Linked DNA regions of Alligator mississippiensis. The protein of the gene in region 2 purifies or fractionates together with the protein of the main gene of each other region. This does not show direct contact. Links are inferred from orthologs where the notes say so. Each region holds a gene or a part of one and is shown on either strand. Other genes may lie near its edges. The genes, in order: PARK7, PRDX5 and PRDX1.

The links.
Region 1: the proteins of PRDX5 (region 2) and PARK7 fractionate together in Homo sapiens (co-fractionation; 3 studies listed by BioGRID). This does not show direct contact. The link is inferred for Alligator mississippiensis from reciprocal best matches to the Homo sapiens genes PRDX5 and PARK7.
Region 3: the proteins of PRDX5 (region 2) and PRDX1 fractionate together in Homo sapiens (co-fractionation; 3 studies listed by BioGRID). This does not show direct contact. The link is inferred for Alligator mississippiensis from reciprocal best matches to the Homo sapiens genes PRDX5 and PRDX1.

Annotation. Positions count from the first base shown.
Region 1 is NC_081836.1:20,167,765-20,175,431, reverse strand, and holds the start of PARK7 (Parkinson disease protein 7), read right to left. Parts: upstream 3,010-7,667; 5' UTR 3,005-3,009; coding exon 2,915-3,004; intron 2,338-2,914; coding exon 2,236-2,337; intron 2,066-2,235; exon of another isoform or gene 1,741-2,065; intron 1,574-1,740; coding exon 1,514-1,573; intron 408-1,513; coding exon 338-407; intron 1-337. UniProt on the Homo sapiens protein: Multifunctional protein with controversial molecular function which plays an important role in cell protection against oxidative stress and cell death acting as oxidative stress sensor and redox-sensitive chaperone and protease.
Region 2 is NC_081838.1:4,439,762-4,447,664, forward strand, and holds PRDX5 (peroxiredoxin-5, mitochondrial), read left to right. Parts: upstream 1-4,884; 5' UTR 4,885-4,977; coding exon 4,978-4,992; intron 4,993-5,619; coding exon 5,620-5,754; intron 5,755-6,121; coding exon 6,122-6,253; intron 6,254-6,684; coding exon 6,685-6,723; intron 6,724-6,966; coding exon 6,967-7,031; intron 7,032-7,347; coding exon 7,348-7,453; 3' UTR 7,454-7,671; downstream 7,672-7,903. Other genes in the region: ESRRA (steroid hormone receptor ERR1), read left to right, coding at 247-363, 521-643, 753-920, 1,004-1,288, 1,492-1,721; TRMT112 (multifunctional methyltransferase subunit TRM112-like protein), read right to left, coding at 2,851-2,952, 3,572-3,664, 3,800-3,901, 4,227-4,307. UniProt on the Homo sapiens protein: Thiol-specific peroxidase that catalyzes the reduction of hydrogen peroxide and organic hydroperoxides to water and alcohols, respectively.
Region 3 is NC_081828.1:2,605,264-2,612,940, reverse strand, and holds the start of PRDX1 (peroxiredoxin-1), read left to right. Parts: upstream 1-4,628; 5' UTR 4,629-4,738; intron 4,739-7,116; 5' UTR 7,117-7,127; coding exon 7,128-7,233; intron 7,234-7,677. UniProt on the Homo sapiens protein: Thiol-specific peroxidase that catalyzes the reduction of hydrogen peroxide and organic hydroperoxides to water and alcohols, respectively.

The DNA.
Region 1 (7,667 bases), on a different chromosome or scaffold from region 2:
ATATTATACCCAAGAAAGCTATCGTGACTATGTCCTGCCAGCAGAATGTGTCCTGGCAGAGATAATGCTATGATAAGCAAATACTTTATAGAACCTCCTAGCACATTACATTTACACCCTGTATTTTAGAGCAGCTTAAATTTTGAAGAGACCAGCACAGATGTAAAAAACACTGACACCTTGCAAGATTAGTGTCGCAGTGGTTTACAGAGCTGCTTGTTTCTGCTAGATCAGTGGGCATTTGAATTTCTTTTATTACTAAGTAGTTGAGTAACAGAGATTTGTAAGAGGCACCTGTCCAGACAACACTTTAATACAATGCAAGATATTTCGTCACCTGCACAAATGGCAGCAATCAAGCCTTTCCTCATCTCCTGGTCCTTCAGGATGTCTTTAACAGCAGAGGACTGCATAAAAGAAACCGTATCACTTTACATAATGATTTATTTTAACATGACAAGTCAAGATACATTTTCTACTGTAAAAATATAAATCAAGAAATGAGAACTAAAACAGGAACTTCAGTCCTTCTGTTTTATAACATAGAACAAACAGATTTTAAAAGAAATTGTAAATGTAGAACCTTCAAAAGCAACAAGAGGTAACAATTAGAAGGGATATTTATTTACCTCCTATTTGATGGCTGAAACCAATATCTAAACCTATTGAGGCCACGGTAAGATTAAAAAAGCCAAACAGGAGACAAGTTTCTTAGACTTTACCCCCAACGAATCTAGTATTAGGCACTGTCAGAGAAAGCATAGCAAATTGAATGGACATCTGGTTTAATTCAAGTGCTTATGGCTTCAATCTACTTTACACTTTGTTGCATTAAATCTTTGTTTACCAATTATTGCATCTCCACACCTTAAGAATCGAAAGCACCTCCTTATTTTCAGAGTAATTAGGGCCAGGCTGCTTAACAGTTGATTAGCTTACAAAGGTCCAGAAAATTGGCAGAGGACAAGTGGTCATCAATGTAGCCACCCTCCCTCCTACCAAATTCCCAAACCCAAAAGGTGCCCCCCACCCTTGGACTGGTCCACACCCCCTCCCTCCCACTTCTGAATTAGGGGCTGAGCCACACCGCCTTTCCCCCCTGCAGGGCCTGTTTGGGGCCCAGCCATGCCTCCTTTCCTCCTCCACAGTGCCAGGTTGGAGCTGAGCTGTGCTCACTTCCCCTGCAGGGCCAGATTGGGGCTGAGCCATGCCCCATTCCTCCCCCTACCCCCATGGGACTAGGTCTGGCTCCTTTTCCTTGCAGGGCCAGGTTACTGCTGGCCTGCCCCCGACCCTTCTGCCTAGTCAGATGGGGTCTGCTACTCCTGCCCCAGGAGCCGGATCGGGACCACCAGCTGGATCCAGCCCACCTGCCAAAAATGTTGGGCACCACTGCTCTAAAATATTTAACTAAATTTGCAGAAGTAGAAGCTAAAAAGAAGCATCACTGAAAGAATTAAGAGCATTCCATCAGATGGGTAGGCCTTGGTATTGCTGAAGAGAAGTCTTTTACCTCTGACAAGTTCTGAGCTCCTAGATTACCTCCTGGTAGGACCACCACATCATAAGGCCCCTAAAGAAACACCATTCTGTTAGTGTGTTATCAAGATTGTTCATGGAGAAGACCTACCTTCATAGTGGTGAGAATATACTGTAATAAGTAACAGATAAATCCTAATTTCTGGGGAACTTCCAAAATATTTACTTAATGGAGTGCCTTATTGTCTCCTTTCCCACCAGAGTGTTAGAGACACTTGTTCCAAAGCAACCTCTGCCAACAAGAAGTCTGAGTGTGGGTGAGCTCAGTACCCTAGAGTGTGAATGTCAGTGCTTCAGTGTGATCACAAGAGCTGTGCTGCAAAAGCTCCCGACACAGCCCTGTTACTGCGCTTCCTTCCTAAGCAAGGGCTCTCTGTTTATACAAGTCACCCTATTTTTTCAGTGTCTGGGTAACACCTTAAAATAAAGTCTGAGTTGATTTTGTAAAATATTTAAAGTGTCTGGATGGAGTGTGACAAGTTGTGCAAAACTTTAGTATTTTCTTGAATAAAGAAAAAAAATGCTAGCCAGACAGATTTCTATGAAAATTGCAGAATGTATCTTTGAGCATGTGATGCTGCTGCTGCAAGGAGTGAGTTAACAGAACATTAATGAAGGAAAATAAATATAATTCTAAGTCTGTTGTGAACCACAAAAGGCCAGTGTTAAGCAACATGCCAAATCAACAGGACAAACCTCTTTTCTGGCGTCTTCCAAACTGGTGTCAGGACAAACAAAGACATCTCGGCTGCACTGCACTGGCTCTTTTCCTGTTAGGCCTGCAACTGTGACCTTGATCTATCAGAAGTACAGACAGCATTAGGACTCAGGAAAATTGCCTGCTTTGGAAAGTTGCAGGGGTCAGTTACATAGTATTCACAAGTATCTTTTAGTTAAGAGGTCATTTAAACCAAGTGAAAGTGGAGCTGTGAAGACAAACTCACTCCAAAAGTCTCCCTCCTATAAAAGCAACAGTCAGGGAGAAACATCTGTGGTGATATTGAGTTTCGTAGTCTGGAAGGTCTAACAGATATATTCAATAACTCATCATTTGAACAACCCTAGTCAGGGACCATTTCAACCCAGAGCCTTTTACATTCCAGAAGAATCAGACTAAGTAAATCTGTTAAAGGATTCATCATCCACTGGCAGGCTTTGCTCATGATCTTCTGGATGTTTGCCCTAACTGTATATAGCGCATTACTCAGTTCCTTCTTTTTCACTCTCTGATACTGGTCAAAATACCCTAGACATGCATGGTACCTCACAGGTAAAGAAAATAAGGAACAGTGCACGGGCTGCTTGAAGACTGATTCAAAAGAACAGCTTTGATTTCAGAGGGACCTCAAGGGATTGTAGTGGTTGGCATACTCACTCCAGCCCTTCTCATAAGATCAGTGGGGATAACAGTTTCCATCTCCTCTGCTCCTTTAGCCAGAATTACTAAGGCTCTTTTTGCAGACATGTTTTGTTGGCACTAAGATGCTCTACTTTCCACAATGTCCCAGTGCTGCACTGAAGCCTCCAGCATACAAGGACCAATACTCTGCTTAGGCAAGACAAAGGAGAGACCATTAGAAATTGAACTGCCCAGATAGATTTATCCTAAACTCAGACATCACCATACAACATGCACCAGTTCCTCTGCCCATGCTGTACCACAGGAAGTGTAAAGGGAGGCTCTGGACTGCTGTGCTGGAAACAAAATGAGGGAACTTCCTAACAGAGTACTTGGGTCAGATCATCCTTACAGTTTATTCGAATGAGACAGCACAACCAAAGTGCATCACAGGGTAATAAAGTATGGCATCTCTGTCTCATTTTTCAGATAAGCCCCATATCAGCACAGTTTAGAAGATTTAGTGAAGATTCAGAACAGTGTTTAATTAGGCAACTATAATCTGATTTTATAAAGGAAAGTTGAGACACCAAGGAGTTAAATAGCTTGCATGGCAGGACACCAGTGCAGAGCTGGGAAGAGAATCTTGGACTAAACACAATTTTACATGACAGCCATTTACCAGCATTAGTGTTTAAAATAGACATTAGGTTGGTTATCAGACTGCTCACCCACAGAGAGAGACTGATGATGACTCCCACCCGAGGTTAGTTACACTGTTAAGTGGGTTTAATTGGGTGTTCAGCTCATATTTGAAGCTTCATTTCCTGACAGTAGTCTGCAGGAGTTTCCTGTGAGTTGTCATGACCAATAGTGTCACCAAATGTTTGATTAATAGATTTTCTGGTATTTCCCCAATCTAATGGGGGAGGGGAAGGTGCATATCTTCCCTAAAGTGACTGAACAGAACAAACTGGGGGTAAGATTTTTCACAAAAAACAGGCTCCTAAGTGGATGGCTAGATTCTGGAGAGCAGTTGGTCTTGCACCTACCTTACACCTCACATGCATGTAGTAAAAGTATTTAGTAACATTTTGTGTGTGTGTGATTATCAAGTTTCTGATAATCACACACACACACACACACACACACACAAAATCACAAGGTGGCAACAATGATGACCAATGCACATGGACTCATTTCATAACTTGCACAACCTCTTAGCAGGAGGTTGGGTTTTTTTCCAGTAGAGGGAATTTCCATCCCAACATGCATATAATTTGGGGGGGGGGGGGGGGGCGCTTTATCAAATGTGACATAAAATTAGTCACCTTGCTGCAGGAATTCAGGGGAATAGGATTCCTTCAACTTGATTTTGATACACTCTTCTTTGCTCTCTTTCTGCTCTGCATTGGCAAAAAAAATCAGTAGGAAGCAAGCTATTTTTTTTCCTGTGTGTTCATTCCCAGCCAGAAGAACTGCCTCTTCTACTCTACCTTGGACTGAAATTACTGTGCAATAAACTGTTAATTTTAAAGATACACCTTACATCAGTCGAATCATGGAAAAGGAGTGCTAGAAGAGACCTCATGAGGGCTCAAGGCAGGATCATCCCTGATTAAACCATCCCAGGCAAACATCTGTCCAACCTGCTCCTGAAAATTTCCAGAGATGAAGATTCCCAAACTTTCCCAGGTAGCCTTTTCCAATGTTTGGCAACCCTAGTAGTCAGAAAGTTTTTCCTAATCACCAACCTAAATTTCTTCTACTGTAGTTTATCAATGTTGTCCCCCTAATCCTGTCCCTTCAGGAATTTGACTGGTATCAAATCCTCCCCCACCCCCCCCCCTACAGACTACATAACTCTAGCTCTTTCAGCCTTTCCCCATAAGTAGTGCTTTCCAGGCCTCTAATCATTTCTGCTGCCCTGTGCTGGACTTTCCAATCAGTCCACATCCTTTGTGAAGTGTGGGGCCCAAAACTGGACACTACTCCCAGTGAGGACTCATTAGTGCTGAATAGAGCAAAAGAATCACTTCCCTTGACTTGCAAGTGATGCTTCTGTTGATAACAGACCCCTATGCTGTTGGGTTTTTTTTTCGCGGCAAAAAAAAAAAGAGCATGCTCTACTATAACCCCCAACTCCTTCTCTAAAGCACTGCAGCCCAGCCAGCCATTTCCCAGCATATATTTCTGCATGCAGTTATTCCATCCCAGGTGCAGGACTTCACACTTTTTGTCAATTCTCATATAGCTGATTGCAGGACATTTCTCTAGTCTGTCCTGGTCACCCTGGATCCTAGTCCTGCTCTGAAGAGCACCCATAGCTCCACCCAGCTTAACGTCACCTTCGTGCATGGATCCCATCCTCCAAACCATTAGTGAGGATATCAAACAATCTGGGACTCAGGGCAGAGCCCCGGGTGCCTCCTCTGGACAGACACTGACAGCCTTTCCTGTCAAAGGTTTCACCAAGGCTCCCAGACCCGTAGCATTTTTTTAAAGCAGCCTCTGAGCAGCAGGGCCGTGACTCTCCGGGCAGCGTCGGACACCTAACACGGCCAGAGCCTGAGGGAGCTGTAGCGACCGCCCACCGCCCCGCCCCGCGGCGACTGACGGGTCGACCCCAGTAGCTGCAGCCAGAGAGGCCCCGGCCCAAGCAGTCTGCGCGGCTTCCTTTCCTCAGGCTGGAGCGCTCCCACCCCCCGGCAGCAGCAACGGCGGCCTGGGGGTAGCGGCGCCAGCTGCGGGTCAGGGGCGCCCCGCACCAGGTCGGCTCCCGACAGCCGCGGCCCCCCAGCCCGCGCCCGTTATGCCGCCCGCCCCAGCCGACCCTACCGCGGACAAGCGTGGCTGCTGCCCGGGCCAGGCCCGTGTGCGTGAGCACCTCCCTCCCCTCCTGAGCGGCCGCGAGCTGCTGTTGGCCCGCGGCTGCCCGGCCTGCTAAGACCACGGCCGGCGCGGAGCTCGGGTAACGCGGGAGCTGTCCCGCCTGAAGACGGCTCAGCGGCCGCTGGGAGACCCTCGGCCCGCAGCTCGGCAGGAAGGGCGCGGCGTGGGCCGGACTCGCGCCCCTCGGGGCACTGCGGGTCGTGCCCTTCCCTCGCCAGGCAGTGCGGGGAGAGGGCGCCACGAGGCCCCCGCGGTGCTGCGCGGGCCGGCGCCTCTCGGTCCGCAGCTGGTGCGGAGCGGGAGGTGGCAAACCCGGAGCCACCGGCCAGCGCCCCGCGGGCTCGGCGCCTGCATCTACGCGACCGGATCCCAGCCCGCCCTCCCGCCACCGCCTCGCCTCCAGGCCCGCCCGAGCTGCGAGTCCCCGGCAGGGCCGTCCGTGGGCGGCGCTGCACAGCACGCCCGCAGCGCAGCTGCCCCCTCCTCCGCGCGACAACTCATGCGGGGTCGTCCCCGCCCGGCCCGGAGCCCGCCGCGCCCTGCTCTAGGCCTGCAGGGCGCCGTCCCCACGGCCCGCTCCCTCCCCCGGCGCCTTGTTCTGCGGGGCAGAGCTGCGCTCTATCCGCGCCGCCCACGCAGGGGTCTCACTCGGGCGCGCAGGCCCCGGCCCGGCCGCACTGCTGCCAAGCGCGGAGCTGCTGGTTCTCTGTCCGCTGCTCACAGTCCGCCCACGCGTCTCCTTGCTGACGGCTCAGCACGGGCTCGCGGGGGGAGGCAGCGAGTGGCACAGGGTAGGCCCCCGCCAAGCGTTACAACGCAGCGCAGCGCCCCTGGAAGCGGCGGGGGAGGCTCGCAGAGGCGAAACGCCCACTCTGACGTGCTTCCCCAACGCCACCTCCGAGGCCCGGAGGCGGAGAGAGACGTCTGGGGCCGCTAGACTCCGCCCACGGCACGCAGAGCCAATGGCGGTGCGGGAAGGCTCCGCCCACCCCCTGCGTGGGTCTGCTGTGGGTGTTGCTGCTCCGGCTCTCCGATGCTGGTGAAGGGCAGGGGCCTGATCTGGGCTGGGGACCGGGGCAGGCCGTTGGGTCTGTGAAGGTGGCACGTGGCCGTGCCGTTACGCCCTGCTCGCGGCATCGGGCGGGCCTGTAGCGAGGTGCCCTGCCCTAGTGGCGTCACTGCGGCGTGAGGGCCATGCTGGGGCCCACAGAATGTCACTCCGACATTTCGATCAGCGCTGACTTAACCAGAGCCCGCCTCTGACGTGCGTGCCCTTTTCTGCGCAGGAAAACGAAGCCCTAGGGGTGGCAAGTTTAAAATAGGGTTAGGGACTGTTAATTTGTAGTCCTGATCAGGGACAGATCCAGAAGGTGTACACTGGTGCACTTGCAGAACCTCCTTCCTGCTCCCCCCCCCCCACACACACACTTTTTTTCCTTTTTTTTTGTAATTCCACTCGAAGTTTAAAACCAACTGTTCGATAGTGGCAGCAGCATTTCCTGTCAGGCTGTGCTAAGGAAGTCAGCTCACTCCATGGCCCATTGTAATCTATTGATTTTATGGGATCCCCCCTAAACTGTTCATGCCACAGGTGTTAACTTGTCTTCTTTTTAAAGCTATCCTTTGTTTAAGCAACCCTGCTGTGTTACCTGCTCCTGAAGCTCCTATTTCACCGCCCTACAGATTGTTAAGTCATTCCAAAGAAGTTGTACATGTTTTTGCTTCATACGGTCCTGGGCCCCAGCACTGTTTCCAGATTATTTCCAGTTTTCCACACTTTCCAGTTTATTTTAACAGAAGAAAAATGTGTTGCTTCTTATGTGAAGATGCACCTCACCATCTGCACCTCCTTTTTCAAAATCCTAAATCTGCCCATGCCTGACCCCTGCTACTCCTG
Region 2 (7,903 bases):
CTCGCTCCCAACCAGCGTCCCCTCCACAGCAGTGCCTCTCACCCCCCACCCGCAGCCCACCCCCCACAGTGGTGCCCCGTGCTCCTGGCCCAAGGGGGTCTCTCACGGGTGGGAACAGGGCATCTTCTGGGCCCCAAGAACCCTCCCTGGTGCCCCTTACTCCTGAGTCACAGCTCCTGCTGGGGGTCTTCTGTGGGTGGGAGTGGGGGATCCTCCATCCTCTCTAATCAGCCCCCCCTTCCCCAGGCAGCATTGAGTACAGCTGCCCGGCCAGCAGCGCCTGCGAGATCACCAAGCGGCGCCGCAAGGCCTGTCAGGCCTGTCGCTTCACCAAGTGCCTGCGCGTTGGCATGCTCCGGGAAGGTAGGGGCTGCGGGATGGGGGTGAGGGGCACCGGCAGGGGTGGTGGGTCAGGTGTGGGGGGCTGGGGGAGCAGGAGCTGTGGCTCCCCCAGTGAGGACACTGGCAGCTCCAGTGCGGGGGTCCAGGCCACCGCCTGACCCCCTTGTTCTCCCCCCAGGAGTGCGGCTGGACCGGGTCCGGGGGGGGCGGCAGAAATACAAGCGCTGTTCAGAAGCTGACGGGACCCCCTACCTCAGTCCTCCTGCCCCCCCTGTCATCATGGCAGCCAGCAAGAAGTCCAGTGAGTGTGCACGGGTCTGGGGGGGGCTGCAGGTTGGGAGTGAGGGGTACCAGCAGGGCTGGGGGGGTAGGGGTCAGCGGTCACCCTGACCCCTCTTGCCCCCCCCCAGCCCCGCTTCCCACTCTGGTGTCCCACCTGCTGGCGGCTGAGCCCGAGCCCCTCCTGGCCATGCCTGACCCAGCACTGCCTGAGGGGCCCCCACGCGTGGCCACGGCCCTGTGCGACCTGGCAGATCGCGAGATCGTGGTCATCATCAGCTGGGCCAAGAACATCCCCGGTGAGACCTGACCCCTGCCCCCCTCCCCTGCCCCTCACTCCCAACCCGCACCATCCCCTAATGCTGCCCCCCATGCCCTCCAGGCTTTGCAGGGCTCTCCCTCCCAGACCAGATGAGTCTGCTGCAGGCAGCCTGGCTGGAGGTGCTGGTACTGGGTGTGGCCTGGCGCTCGTTGCCCGGGGGAGCTGGGCCCGACCCTCCCCCGCTGGTCTTCGCCCAGGACCTGGCGCTGGATGGGGCGGGGGCACGGGCGGCCGGGTTGGCCGAGTTGGGCGCTGCCCTGGCCCAGCTGTTGGCACGGTACCGGGCCCTGAGGCTGCAGCGTGAGGAATTCGTCTTGCTCAAGGCCCTGGCGCTGGCTAATGCTGGTGAGTTGTGGGGGACAAGGGGCTGCAGGTCAGGAGTGAGGGGCGCCACAGGCACGGGCCGTGGGTTAGGAATGAGGGGCACTGGCAGAGCTGGGAGGTGCTTGCAGAGCACCCCTGGGGCATGGGGACTGTGGGTCAGGAACGAGGGGGCACCGTGGGGCTGCAGGGGAACAGGCCCCCTGACTTCTGCCCTCTGTGCACAGACTCGGTGCACCTGGAAGATGGGGCGGGCGTGCAGCGGCTGCGGGACGGGCTGCTGGAAGCATTGGCGGCACTGGGGGGGGCGGGCCGTGCCGGGCGCTTGCTGCTGACGCTGCCCCTGCTGCGGCAGACAGCTGCCCGGGCCCTGCGGCACCTGCAGCGGCTGCAGCTTGGTGCCCGTGGTCCCCCCCACAAGCTCTTTCTTGAGATGCTGGAAGCCATGATGGACTGATGGATGGGGCCAGGCAGACCCACGTGCCCTTCCCCTCCTCCTCAGGGACCCCCAATGGATCTGGGGGCAGACAGATGGGACAGATGGGGGGGGGCAGGGGGGTGTGGCCAGACACACAGACAGCCCCACGGAGGCAGATGGACTGGACAGACGGGGATTGGGGTGGGGGGGTGAGGCGCACAGATCCATTGGACAGGAGCTGGACATTCAGATGGATTGAAGGCCAGACACGGATGCGCAGGGGTAGGGGTGATGGACGGACAGACTGGGGTGGAAAGTGGGGGATAGTGGATGGACACACGGGCAACTGGGTGGGAGCAGAGGCAAGACAGTTGGACTGGACCAGACCAGGGTGCACAGACAGACTGGACTGACAGAGGGATCCGGGGGCAAGACAGAAAGACAGCCTTAGGGCTGACCCATGGCCAGGCCACCCATCCCAGGTGGAGGCAGATGTGGGTGCATGGTCCACGGGTCCTTGTGTCCCTGGGGGGCTGGACAGAAGGACAGATTCTGTTGGGGGCAGGGCTGGGAAGCCAAGTCCCAAACCCCTGGAAGCCATAGACCCCTGATTCCCCCCCCCCCCACCAGTTCAGGGGGGCCTGAAGGGAGCTCAGCACTGGATGGGGGTCCCCCTCCTTAAAGCAATAAGTAGCCCTGGGCACTGTTGGCAGGGGGGAGATAGGGCTGATCTCCCCTGGGGACCCCAGGACTGCCCCCCTATCCCCAGCTTGGGGAGGGTCTCAGGGACCCCCCCCCCCAAAGCAATAACCCTTCTGTACATAGCAATAGCCCCATCTGGGCTGAGGGGGTCATCCCCATGTCCCCTCCCACCAGGGCTTGGGGGTGGGGCCTGGGTTAATTTATGGAGATGTACATATGCTAAATACCTCGGGGGCGGTGGCGGGCTCCCCCCCCCCCCGCCCCAATAAAGCGTGGAGATCTCGGACACCCCTGGTCGCTGTGTCTTCATTGGGGGGGCTCCGGGTTGGAAGTGGAGGCAGGGACAGTACATCACAGCTCTCCACTTCAACCCAACCGAGCTTTATTGATGCAAACAGACATAGTCCAGCCCAACCCCCACACAAACCCACCCCGTCCTGCCCCCCCTTGCCCCCGCCCCAGTCCTTCAGGTCTCCTCCTCAGCCAGCAGCATGTTAGGGATCCCCTTGGTGATGGGGAACTCGTGCCCCGAGTCTGGGCAGCGCAGGATGCCTTCCACCACCTCCACCTGTGGGTAAGGGAGAGGTCAGGCAGGGCTGGAGTCTTCCCAGGCAGGAGACCAGCTTCCCCCCCCCCCCCCCCTCGGCATCCACAGCAGTCTGGGGGAGATGGGTTACATGTGTGGGGGAAGGATTTCGGGGTGACACCCCTGGTGTTGGCGGGGGTTACCCCTGTTCCCGCAGCAAGCTGAGGAGGGGGATCTGGGAGGGGCTGTCAACCCCAGGGGTAAGGGGGAGGCAGGGTGCTCAGGCACCCCTGGGGGAGGGGGTGTCTGGGGGAGTCTAGCGGTCTGTAGGGGGTGGGGGAGGGTATAGGGGCCCATGGGGGGGCCCTGTGTGTGGGGTGCAGGAGGGGGCATTAGGAGTCCATGGGGGTGCTCAGGGGTTTCCAAGTGTCCCTGTGACAGTCTGTGGTGGTGGGGGAGAGGGCACGGGAAGTCAGGGGAGGGTGCTGAGGGCCGTGGTGCCATAGAGGTGGTGTGGGGGCCCATGGGTGGTCTGGGGCAGCTTAGGGACCAGTGGGGGATGTCTTGGGGGTTTCCAGGGTCCATGCGAGAGTCTGCATGGGGTGGGCAAATGGGGGCACCTATGTGCGGGGAAGGGTGGCGGGGGCATCGGGGACCTCACCTCCAGCAGGACGTGGTGCAGACGCCGCAGGAAGTCCTCGTCGCTCTCGTAGCCGGGGGCGGGCTCGGGGGGCAGGTCAGAGCCATGCCCCAGCTGGGGGGAGAGGGGGGAGGAGTCACCCGCAGGGGGAGGGGCCAGCCCTGAGTAACCACGCCCACCCCACTGCCCTATGTCCCCTTCATTGCCTGGTCCCAGCCCCTCCCACCTTAAGCCCCGCCCCTCACTCACGCTCTGGGCCGCCTGCAGCAGCGCCGCCCACTGCACCTTGGGCACCATCCGCGCCACGAACTGCGCGTTGAAGTCCACGGGGCTCAGCTTCACTTCCGTGGCCTAAAAGGGGACGGGGTCATTCGGGCTGGGGGCGGCAATAGGCCATGCGGGGGCGGGGCCTTGACACGAGGGAGGGGCTTGGGGATCCCCATGGGCGCCTGGGGGGCGGGGCTACGGGGGCGTACACTTCGCGGGAAGTGCCCCCGCGCAGAAGAGGACGGGGCCGGCCACGTGTGGGGCGGGGGCGGGGGCGGGGCACGTGGGGGTAGTGCTAGATCACGGGAGGCCTCGCAGTGAGCACGTGGGGGCGGGGCTACGGGGGTCCAGGTGGAGGGAAGGAGCGTCCGTGGCCACGTGGGAGGCGGGAAGGGGCGGGTGACGGCACCTGGATGCCCAGCGGGTAGCCGCCGCCGGGCCGCAAGCCGCGCACGTGCGACGTTAGCAGGTTGTGCGTCAGGAGCTTCATCCTCCCGCAGCGCCGCCGACTCCGCTCCCGCCGGAAGCCGGGTGACTGCCGGTCCAGGCGTCTTGTGTGTCCGTTAGACACCACTTCCGGCCGTGGTGTGCTATTCGGGAGGGTCCGGCTGGGAAACCCAAATCCCAAGAAAGAAGCTTCCGGCACGCTCTGGTTCCGGCGTCTTCCCGTTAGAGTAGGCGAATACTCTAGCGGGGCGGGGGGGAGGGAGAGATATGCAAACGATATGTAAATCGTATGCAAATTAATCAAAACGTGTGTGGGCGGGTTGAAAGTCCACCCCTCCCGCCCTTTGCACCATATGCAAATGAGATGCAAACCAGCCGTGGTGAAATATCGTCCCCTCATTTCCTCACGCGCGAGCCAGTTATATCAATCAGCTGTGATTGAAACCCTCCTCCCTGCCCCCCCGCCGCGTGCCGATCAGCTGTGATTGAGTAGCCCCTCGCATGCAAATGAGATGCAAATCAGCCGCGACTGGCTGCGCCTTGACCGGGGGGGTGGGGGGCGTGAAGTGATCTCTCTCCGTGGGAGTTGTCACTCAGGGCGTTGTCATGGCAGCGGGGGGCGGGGGGTTGCCGCAGGCGGGGCCCCCCCCAGGCCCAGGCCCAGGTCCAGGTCCGGCCCAAACTGACCGGCTGGAGGAGCGCGAGGAGCTGCCATGGCGCCCATCCAGGTGAGGGCAGCCGGGCCCCCTGTTCCGTGCATGGCCCCCCGGTGCAGCCCCCTCCCTCCCCCGGGTCCCTGGAGTTGGGGGGGCAAGATGGTGGGTGGGGGGGGTCAGTGACCGACCCCCCCCAGGTCCTGCGGCATCCAGGGGCGAGGGGGGGCTGGGCACAACCAGGCGGGGTCTGGTCAGGCCATGGGGGAAGGGGGGGCATAGATGGGGTGGGGGGCTATGGGGGGATCTGGGGTCTTTTGAGGCCCCACAGCTGCACAGAGTGGAGGTCGGAGGCATGTGGGCACTGGAGGGTCTCCTGGCATGGGAGCTGGAGGGGGGGAAGGGATGTGGAGGGGGGCCCTGGGGCACAGACTGTGCTGGGGGCAGGGCTCTGTCTCTGTGTGGGGGGGGGGTGTTCCTGGCAATGCTGGGCAGGGCGGGGCGGGGCGGGGGCGTTGTGCAATTCACTGGGAAACTCCAGGGAGCGGCTGAGGTGCTGCCCGGTGCGGGGGGCGGGGGGGGATGTGACTGCTTCCCCTTGGCAGCCCCAGCCCCCCCTGATTCCCATAGTGGATTTCAGAGCTGTTGGGGGGGGGTCCTGGCTGTGCTGGGACCCCCCCATACCTCCCCCTTCCCCCCCAGGTAGGAGACCGCCTGCCCAGCGTGGAGGTGTTCGAGGGGGACCCTGACACCAAGGTGAACCTGGCCACGCTCTTCCAGGGCAAGAAGGGTGTCCTCTTTGGGGTGCCCGGCGCCTTCACCCCTGGCTGCAGCAAGGTCAGAGCCCCACTGGACCCCCCACAGCGCTGATCTGCCCTAGTCCCCCTCTACAGCCTTGGTTACTCCCCCATACCCCCCAACACCCCCCAGACCCCACCCAATACCTTCCTGGTCCCTCTTAGGTTCCCCCATGCCCTTCCCTGCCCCCCGCAGCTCCCTCTATTTTCCACTGCCCCCTGGAAATCCCCTGTAACGTCCTTTGCTCCCCCCACCCACCAACACACCAAGTCAAGCTTGCAAAGTGTTGTGGGGGCTGGGATAGGCTTCCCCTTATATCCCTGGGCCCCGTGGGGTCAGGACTGGGGCTGGTGGGCACTGTCTCTGGGGGGTCCCTGATGCCCCCATGTGTGCCCCCCCACCCCAGACACACTTGCCAGGGTTTGTGGCAGAGGCCAAGGAGCTGCAGGGCCGAGGCGTGGACCTGGTCGCCTGCCTGGCCGTCAACGATGTCTTTGTGGTCAGCGAGTGGGGCAAAGCTCTTGGCACCCAGGGCAAGGTGAGGGGGCCTCAGGGGATGATGGAGGGCTGAGGGGGGGGGCAGCATTAGGGGTGGGCGGTGTTTTGGAGGTGAGGGAACTGAGGCAGGGGTGGGGGTGGCCTTGGAGGGGAGGGGGGTTGGAGTCCGTGGGGTGAGGAGGGCATGGGGGGCAGGATGGGGGGTTGTGTGGAGCAGGGACGGGGCAGCTGACTGGGGGCTGGGGCAGGGGAGTGTGGTGGTGGCAAGCCAGTGGCAGGGGCAGAGAGAGGATTTTTCCCTGCCCTTGCCCAATTCCACTGCCCCTCCCACCCCTGCCTGGGGCAGTTGACTCAACTTCCTGGGCCACCCCCATTCTTGGCAGCCCTGGTTTGCGTAACAAGGGGTTGTGTAACCATGTGGGGACTGTTTCTGCCCCCACCACACTAATCCTCTTTCCCCTCCCCCCCCAGGTGCGGATGCTGGCTGACCCCACCGGGGCCTTTGGGAAGGTAAGGGGGGTGTGGGTTGGAGTGAGGTGCACTGGCAGAGTTGGGGGTGGCAGGGGAGCAGAGGGCTGCAGGTCAGGAATGAGGGGTACTGGCTGAGCGGGGTTGGCAGGGGCTGTGGGCCAGGAGTAAGGGACACCGGCAGGGGGCTGTGGTGTGGGAGTGAGAGGCACCTGGGAGGGGGGCATCAGGCCAGGATTGGGTTCCTCCCTTCCCCTGCTGAGCCCCCCTCTTTCCTGCTCCCAGGCCACTGACCTGCTGTTGAACCAGGACCCGCTGCGCCAGCTTTTTGGGAATGACCGCCTCAAAAGGTGAGGTGCCCCCAAAACAAGTCCCCCTTATACATGTGCCTGCAGCCCCCCTTCCCAGCATGCAGCATGGCCGCTGGTGGCAGCTGGGAAGGGGGGTGATAGGAGAACACAGGGTGGGACCCCAAGGTCTGTAGGGTCCCCTTAACTGCTTTGGGGTCCCCAAGTTTTGAGGGTCCTTGTGGGGGGTTCCCAATAGCAGGGGGGGATAAGGGGGTTGTTGAAGGTTTAGGGGATCTTTGGGAGGTGGGGGTGCTTTGGGGGGTTGGGGAAGGGTCTGGGGAACCCCCCTCAGCCCTGACCCCCGATATCCCCATAGATTCTCGATGGTGGTGGAAGACGGGGTGGTGAAAGTCCTCAACGTGGAAGCCGACGGCACCGGACTCACCTGCAGCCTGGCTAGCAACCTCCTCTCCCAGCTGTGAGGGACCAGGCGTCTGGGCCCCCCACCCCATACTCCCAGTTTTGACCCAAGAGCCCCATTGAGACAAGGGGTAGGGGCACATCTTGCTGCTGCAGCTCCTGATTTGGGCCTGTAGGGGGTGCACAGGCTCCACCCCCAAGCTCTGGCCCCGCCCCTGCTGCTGAGGCCCCGCCTCCTGCACCCCCACTTTGCTGGAATAAATGGCTCTGTTCAGCTCAACCTGTGTGTGCATGATTGGGGGCCGTGCCCCGAGATGGGGGTATAGGGCTGTGGTGGGGTAGGGGGCTCTGGATTGCCCCAAGCTGGGCTCAGGGGGTACCAGGTGCTGTCCAGACCCCCCAGGCCAGGATCAAGGGCGTGCTGTCCAGGCACCCCAGGCTGGAATGGGGTGGGGGGAGTGCTGGGCACTGTCCAGACCTCCCCCAGGTTGGGATTGGATCAGTCAGAGGTA
Region 3 (7,677 bases), on a different chromosome or scaffold from region 2:
GCTGCTGTCGGCAAAATATGTGCAGATGCAAAATGACTCAGCTTTTACTATTTCTTTTCTTTGTCTCTTATTTCACAGGCCGGGGGTTTCAATGATTCAGATTTCTAAACGACTAGGAAAGAGCTAAAAAATATTTTCAGGGGCATAACAAACTGCTCCCAGCTACTTTTAAAGACGTTTCAAACACAATCACACAGATTCAACTTAAATTAAGGGCAATAATATTTGTGTGAATTCTCCAGAAAAGTCTTTCTTCTGCTCCATTGACCCTGATCACATTAACAATATTTCTGCAAAGGGGAGGGCAAGAAATCCATAGGTTGGAGTCACTGGATTCCACAAAAAGTGCAATGTCAGGTACTTTGCTGTTGGGGTATTGTTTGCACGAGGAACTAGTGTACTGAGAGAACAAAGGCATATTTGTTCAACACACATCCTCAGGTATGCATTTCCTTATTTATACAATGAAGCTGAAAGGAAGGCTAACCTGACTGATATGTATGCAAATTTGAACTGTGGAGGTATGATCCTCCAAGGCAGCATTTGAATGGATCTTAAGAGAGCAGCATGTGGCGTTGTGTGTGTGTGTGAAATACCCCCATGCTTACTGCATTCCTGTCGCTACAGATGGCCAGGACTGAAGATCACACACAGCTGTAATTTTCTTCTCTAGATGTCCACATTTACAACTAAGTTACAAACTTTGAGGATTTGGAAAGCAGGTGGATTTAAAGATGAAATGCCAACAAATTCCTCACTGTACCAGGCCTGGAAGTGCGTGGTGGGGTCGTTCCACCCGTTTCTTTCTTCGTTGCAAATTGATGCAAACCTAGTAGAGTCTCAAGGTTAACCCCACTGGCTACTCATATAGGAGCACTTTTCCATGGAGCTTCCTATAGCTACAGGACTGAAAAAGCAGCAGCAAGATAGTGCAAAGGAAAAAAAAGAATGGAAAGAAAAGATAAAATAATGTTGAGGGCAGGGGAGGAAAGAGTGAAGTGGAAGAAAAGGAGATAAGCAAAGTGCCTGTCCTCCTGGAAACAGTAACTATGGACAGTTATTGCCAAGAAAATTGCTATTGGACACTATAGTATAGTATAGTATAGTATAGTATAGTATAGTATAGTATAGTATAGTACAGTAGAGGATACTTGAACATGTCAAAATAAATAAAAAATGTGACAATTAGAACACTATTCAATATGGAACAAAAAGGAAATAATTATATCCTTTTTTGTCAGAAGACGGCACATTTTTGTCATCAAAAGACTGTCATGACCCATACGATGATGATAAAAACGTAACATTGAGAGCGCATGGATAAAGAAAAGGAAAGGCCGTATGTTTTGATCTGAAAACACGACGATCACTTCAATTAAAGAAGGAAAAGCAAATGTGTGTTCAAAACCCGTGATTTCACCTGTTTTTACACTGAATTCCAGAGCTTCTACTTCTCATTCACAAAGCCCATCTTAGTAGGCCTAAATGGCTCAATTCGCTCTTGAGCGCATCAATTGAATAGGCACATCTACAGGCCTGAGAACCGTACAGCTTGGAAGACTTTCACCAGCAGAGCCCTGAGATGTCTATAGCCAAGCCAGGATTTTGCTCTTCTTTAACAAATAATTGGACCCTTAGATTTAAACGTGATGTCTTTGGGAAAGGGACTGTATCTTTGTATCTCTGTACTACCTGGTACAAAAGGCCCATTCCTGACTAGGGACTCTGGTAGCTAAAACCACTAAATAATAATTGGGATCCCTAGCAATAACTTTTGGGCTTAATTTTGTGTGTATTGGTGTAAAGCCCACAGATTCCTATTCTTCTCAATCACAGCGGTACCAGCCATCTCCTCCGTGCCAGCAAGTAAGCTCACTCTGCTGCCTCAAGGAGCTCAGAACAGGCTTCAGCTTGTCGTAGCAATGACATGCCCCCACCTAACAGTGAGGTAACCAGATCGCTGGAGAAGCACGCTCCTTTATCTGGAAATAGCAGCCACTGACAATGCAGCACTGGTTCCTTACCCAAAAACAAGCAAACCGCAAACCCCCGAAGCAGATGATGAAGAGACCGGCTTAGAAGGAAACGACAGAATACCACACACAACCTGAGGACACAGAGGTGTGAACGGAAAGGCAACGCTCAGAGCAAACGAGGGCAAATTGCACTGTGGCAGCTCCACACAAATGAGTAGACCCCGCGCTTGGAAGTGCACAGAAGAGAAGTAGCCCGAGAAAATTGCTCCTGATTTGTGCAAGGGGGGTTGATCCATGTTAGGGTGCAGCTACACTGCTAAGAGTTGCATCGTGTGTCAGCAATTCTTTCGCCACCGTTGAGACTGCCTGGCTTGCCACGTGCTAACCTAGACACATTTCCCTGGCCTATGTTTTCAGGAGGTTTCTACTGCGCGCTGCAGCCTCCAGGATCCTAAAGCACTTCAGAGGCGGCGTGCAAGCGAGTGCATTTTGTTTTTAACATTTAGAAAAATAAACTCAGTACCAAAAGACAGTCCTCGCTAAAACCGATCGGAACGAGTGTTCATCGGTGCACAAGAACACCACGCAACAGCGAGAATCGTAGCGGCTCACGCAGGCAGACGGCAGTGTTGCCAGACATACATATTGTATTTGTACACCACGTTCAACTCCTGCATGACAGATAATCATGAAAGAGGCCGAAATGTGCAATAATTCAGGGCAGATGCTCACCGTTTAAAGAAAATACTAACTTTCAAACAATTTTCCTTCTTCAGACAACCGTCTTTGTCCAGTCCCTCATACGCAGAGACTCAGGGGCACGTTATACACATGGCCGTGCCCAGGGTTCGATTTACAGGGGAGTTTGGGGGAAGGAGGGCTGAGCCCCCCATAAAAGACAAGACCCCCCCCCCCGGTAAGATTTTAAAATCAAAACTTGGGGAGTCTTCAGTTTTATTAGGGCATCATAATGGGCAGCCCAATTTTTTTTGCAGACCCCCCCAGAGTCAAAGTATAATTTGAACCCTGGCTGTGCCCCTATGGCTGTCAGTAAAATGACCAAAATATTTGCTATTTACAGATAAATGAGTCTGAATCTTAATGGTAAGGACTACAGAAATCCTTTGGCTGTGCAGGTTCTGAAATATTTGCAATATACGGCAATTTGGAGGTTCCAGTACAATCTACTTTTATCGTCTTCCAATATTGATTGACGTTTAAAAATGATGCCTTTTGATGGCTTCCTTTACGTGGCAAAATATTAATGTTTTAATACATGGTAAGTAAATGGCAGTGCAGCCCAGAAATAAACAGGCATTGCCAACTCCCATTAAAGCCAGTCTTACAACTGCTGAGATTGCCTCCAAGTATTTTCTCGCTCCACTCAATGCTGTGCCTAAACCGCACCACAAAAAAAGACCTTTGCATAACTCTCATGAAAGTTTCAGAAGTTGGATCATTAGTCCCGACAGCTCCTCCGTGTCCTATAAAGCAGCCAAAGTATTTCAATATTCTCTGCTAGGCAGCCAAGTCAAAGCTCAGAGATCGCCTTCATTGTTTAATTTTAACCCTGCATCACATGACTCGCCTTGCGCCGACCGCTGGAGCCGAATTCGTGAGAGCAGAGGCAAGAAACAGAGTACGGCTTACGTTTGCCTTCTAACGTTGCTAGCAGGGTGAAAGGGTTTTGCTCGTATACATGTGTGCACGTGTATAAATGTATGCATATATTTTGATATAGTCATGTATAAAAATAGATGTAGGCAGACAAGGTTATTTGGGTAAATGTGATATCTTTTATGAGACGGAGAACCTTGTCTGCCTATGTTCCTAGACCAACGCGGCTACTGCCAACACCCCCTCGACATGGTAATCCAGACTGTGCAAACATACATGTTTGGTAAAACATAGTGAATAAAGGAATAAATACATAAAAGATAGATAGATAGATAGATAGATAGATAGATAGATAGATAGATAGATAGATAGCCAACACCCCCAAACCATGGTAACATACATATATGGTATACATATATTACCATGGTTTGGGGGTGTTGGTAAATATATACATATTTAGTAAAACACGGTAAGTGTATATAACCATGTTTTGGGGGTGTTGGTGGGTAGATACACATACTTACACACACACATATACAACACATACACACATAATACACACACGTACACATACATGCACACACATGTACACACAATTCACATGCACACACACAATACATGCACACACGTACACACACGTGCACACACATAATTGACACGCATACACAATACACACACACATATATAATAATGCACATATATCACACACACGATACACACACATATGTACACACAATACATGCACGCACACATCTATATGCACACACAATGCAGACACGCATGCACGCACATCTATATGTACACACACAATACATATATGAACCATGAAACTGTATGCACACGCGATTCACACACGTATCACACGAGCGCACACACGCCCGGCCGGGGGCGCGGCGGGGTGTCCCGCTGCAGAGTGATGGGCGGGGCGAGGCGGGGCGGGGGCACGGCGCGTGGGAAGGGCAGGACCCGCCCCGCCCCGCCTCGCCCCGCGCCGCTCGCGAGAGCCGGGCGATATAAAGACGGAGCCCTCCCCGCTCCGCCCCGCTGCCTGCTGCGCTCCGTGCTGCGACGTACCGCTCCGCACTGCATCGTTCCGTGCTGCGCCGCACTGCATCGCTCCGCTCCGTTCGTCTGTCCGCCCGCCGGTGAGTGCAGCCCCGCTGCGGGCGGTGCTGATCCGGGCAGCTCTGCGTTTGTCTCCTGTGCAAAGCCGGGCCTTTAACAACGGGGGAAAAGGCCCGGCTTCGCGTGCGGGCCGCGATGCTTTGCCTCCAGCCTGACCCAGCCCCCCCTTCCCTCCCTCCCTCCCTGGTCCTGGGGCCCCGGCCCGGAGAAGAGCATCCCGCTCCTGCAGCGAGGAGACGAGCGCGGGGGAAGGGGGGCATCCCCACGGCCTCTCCTCTCCTCCCTGCGCCGGAGAACGGGCTGCAGAGAGGCGGGCGTGTGGGCTGGATGTTGGGAAACCTTTCTCCCGAAGAAGGCAGCGAGTCTGCTGGGAGAGTCTTCACGCTCACACTTGTATGCCAGGAGGTACATTGTTGTTGGGGCCGTCGCACTAAATGACCGCCCGGAGAGATGGCGGCATCTCCGTCCCGGGAGTTTAAGACCTAAAGCCCTGGCTGGGATGACGCAGCTGGGGATGGCCCTGCTTGTGAGCAGCGGGGTGGGCTAGATGTGACCTCCCTTCCAGTCCTCCTTGCCTTACGATTTTGCAAGGCTTGGCGCTCACGACACTGGTTTCCAGGCCGGGCAAACTGTTAGCCCAGGTGATGTTTAATCCTAACACTTCAGCCCGGGGCTCTGGCAGGGATGGAGCTGAACGTGTGGAAGAAGCAGCCCGGTTGCAGGGTGGGGTTGGCAGCTGGCAGGCCCGCTGGCTCTGGAGGACGGTGGGCACATGCCTTCCTGGGGGTTATGAAATGCCCTTCGTTCTTTGGTGAAGTTGTGGCCGTGCCGTGGGACCCACCTAGTCACCTGGGGTTAAATGATGGTTGAGAAACCTCTTGTCTAATTAAGAGATTTGCTGGATGGGGGGAGGATTAAACTGAACTACTGGAGTTGCAGCTTTTAAAGAACTGGCAGAACTAGAGACCGTGCCCATCTGCACTTTTTGTTTTTTTAAGTACTGCAAGAGGAAGTATAACTAAAAAAATCCTGAGATGTCTGCACACCCATCTGGTCAGGAAATGCTGTGGTTTTACCTGTTTGTTTTTAAAAATAATTTTAATATGGGAAGGTGGTGGATGTTATGGAGCAAGCAAATGTAGTGGGGAATGGTAACCAAGTTTCCTCGTTACAGTCTCAAGTGCGGCAGTTCCTAACGCCCAGTATAAAATCTTCCGCTTTCCTGGAGGAATATGTTAATGAAGTTTTTAGATTTTGCTTGTCTCTGAAATTAAGAGGCCTGGAGTCTTTGCTCTTAAATCCACGCAGAGCTGTATCCCTGGATACAAAACCTGCTTCTAGGCTGTTGTGTGTGGAGGCCCAACCATTGAACCTCTTGACCGGGTGGTTCAGCCTCTTCGAAGGCAATTATTTACCCAGGCCAAAATAAGTATGAAATACTTCTGAAATAAAAGGAAGACACTTTTAAAGAATTAAAACTTCCAGTTTTCCTTGGACTAAGAAAAGTTCTCTATTCTTACACACAAGTTTCTCTTTACCCTTAGTTTTGCCTCATTGATAATGCATTTGATAGGTTTCTTACTATGGCTCTGCAATGACATTAAACAGTTTGGTGAAGCTGGTACGCGCTTACCAGGATAGCACATGTTCATACTTGGATATTTTAGAGCAGGATGCCTTTGCTGCATTGCATAGTAGTGTCAAGTCTCTGCTTTTGCTAACATCCCATGGAAGTTGGTATCCCTCAAACTGGACTAGCTAATGTAAGACTTGCTCTTCCTAAGCCTAGCAAGTGTTATTTATGTGCTTCAAATCAATAGGACAATGGAGCCAGCGGTCAAGGTCTTGAACTGCTTATCAGGAAACGTGGAACAGAGAAACTTCCTTGTGACGCAGCGTGCGGATAGGATCAGGGTCCGTTATGCTGACACGGTGAATGTGGGAATTGCACTGTTGTTGGTGGAAGAGCAGATGGCTAGCTCTTTCTGCTCGTGCACTTGTGTTAGGACTCCAGATAACTTGCACCCCGCCGAAGTTCAAACACTAATGTTTCTGTGCCCTCGATAGGGAAGACTTCCCCCGAGACTACTTGAGTGAAGGGGGAATGCATGACTTGCTTTCACAAGCATCTCTGTATAGCTGCGTGGGCTGCACTTCTTCCGTGCTTCTGTACAAAGTATGAAATAAAGGAAACTGGAGGGAGCAGTTTGCTACTTGTCATGTCGGCTGAGCCTTTTGATGTCCAAGCTTTTTCTTTAAGAAAAGCTGTAGCAAACTAAACCACCAGTATTTTGTGCTTAGTAGGAACTGCTAAGAGATGACCAAAATCATGACTCTGACTCCCTTTAGACACTTAAGGGGAAGATGTGTCCAAGTTATGTTTGTGTCTCCATTTTAGCTCCTATCAAGATGTCTTCAGGGAACGCATTTATAGGGAAACCAGCTCCTGACTTCCAGGCTACAGCTGTAATGCCGGATGGGCAGTTCAAAGACATCAGGCTTTCTGACTATAAAGGTAAATTTGTAATTGTGATTGGGAGTGGGGATAAGGATGGCTCTTCTGCTTGGCTTAAATCTGTTTTAAATGCATTTCTGAAAACAAAGCTGCCTGTGATCCTTGAGACATTGAACTAGTTCAGTGGTTCTCGCCCCTCTTTTGTACTGGGACCCACATTTGATGCCCAGTCCCCAGTGTGTGGGGCAGGGGGGACCCCAGGCAGCCTCTCGCAGGCTGGAGCTCTGCCAATCTGCAAGGGAAAATGCAGTTTCCCATGTTGTTTTTCCATGTTAAATGGCTTCTCCTTTTGAAGTTTGTTCATGACCCTTTCATATTCTTGCAACCCACGTGTGGGTTGTGACCCCCGGGTTGAGAAACGGTGCCTTAGTTGAGGCACTCATGCTGTGAACAGTTCCAAGTGCAGACTGAAGCACGCTTCTGACACGGGAGCAGGCAAAGCCA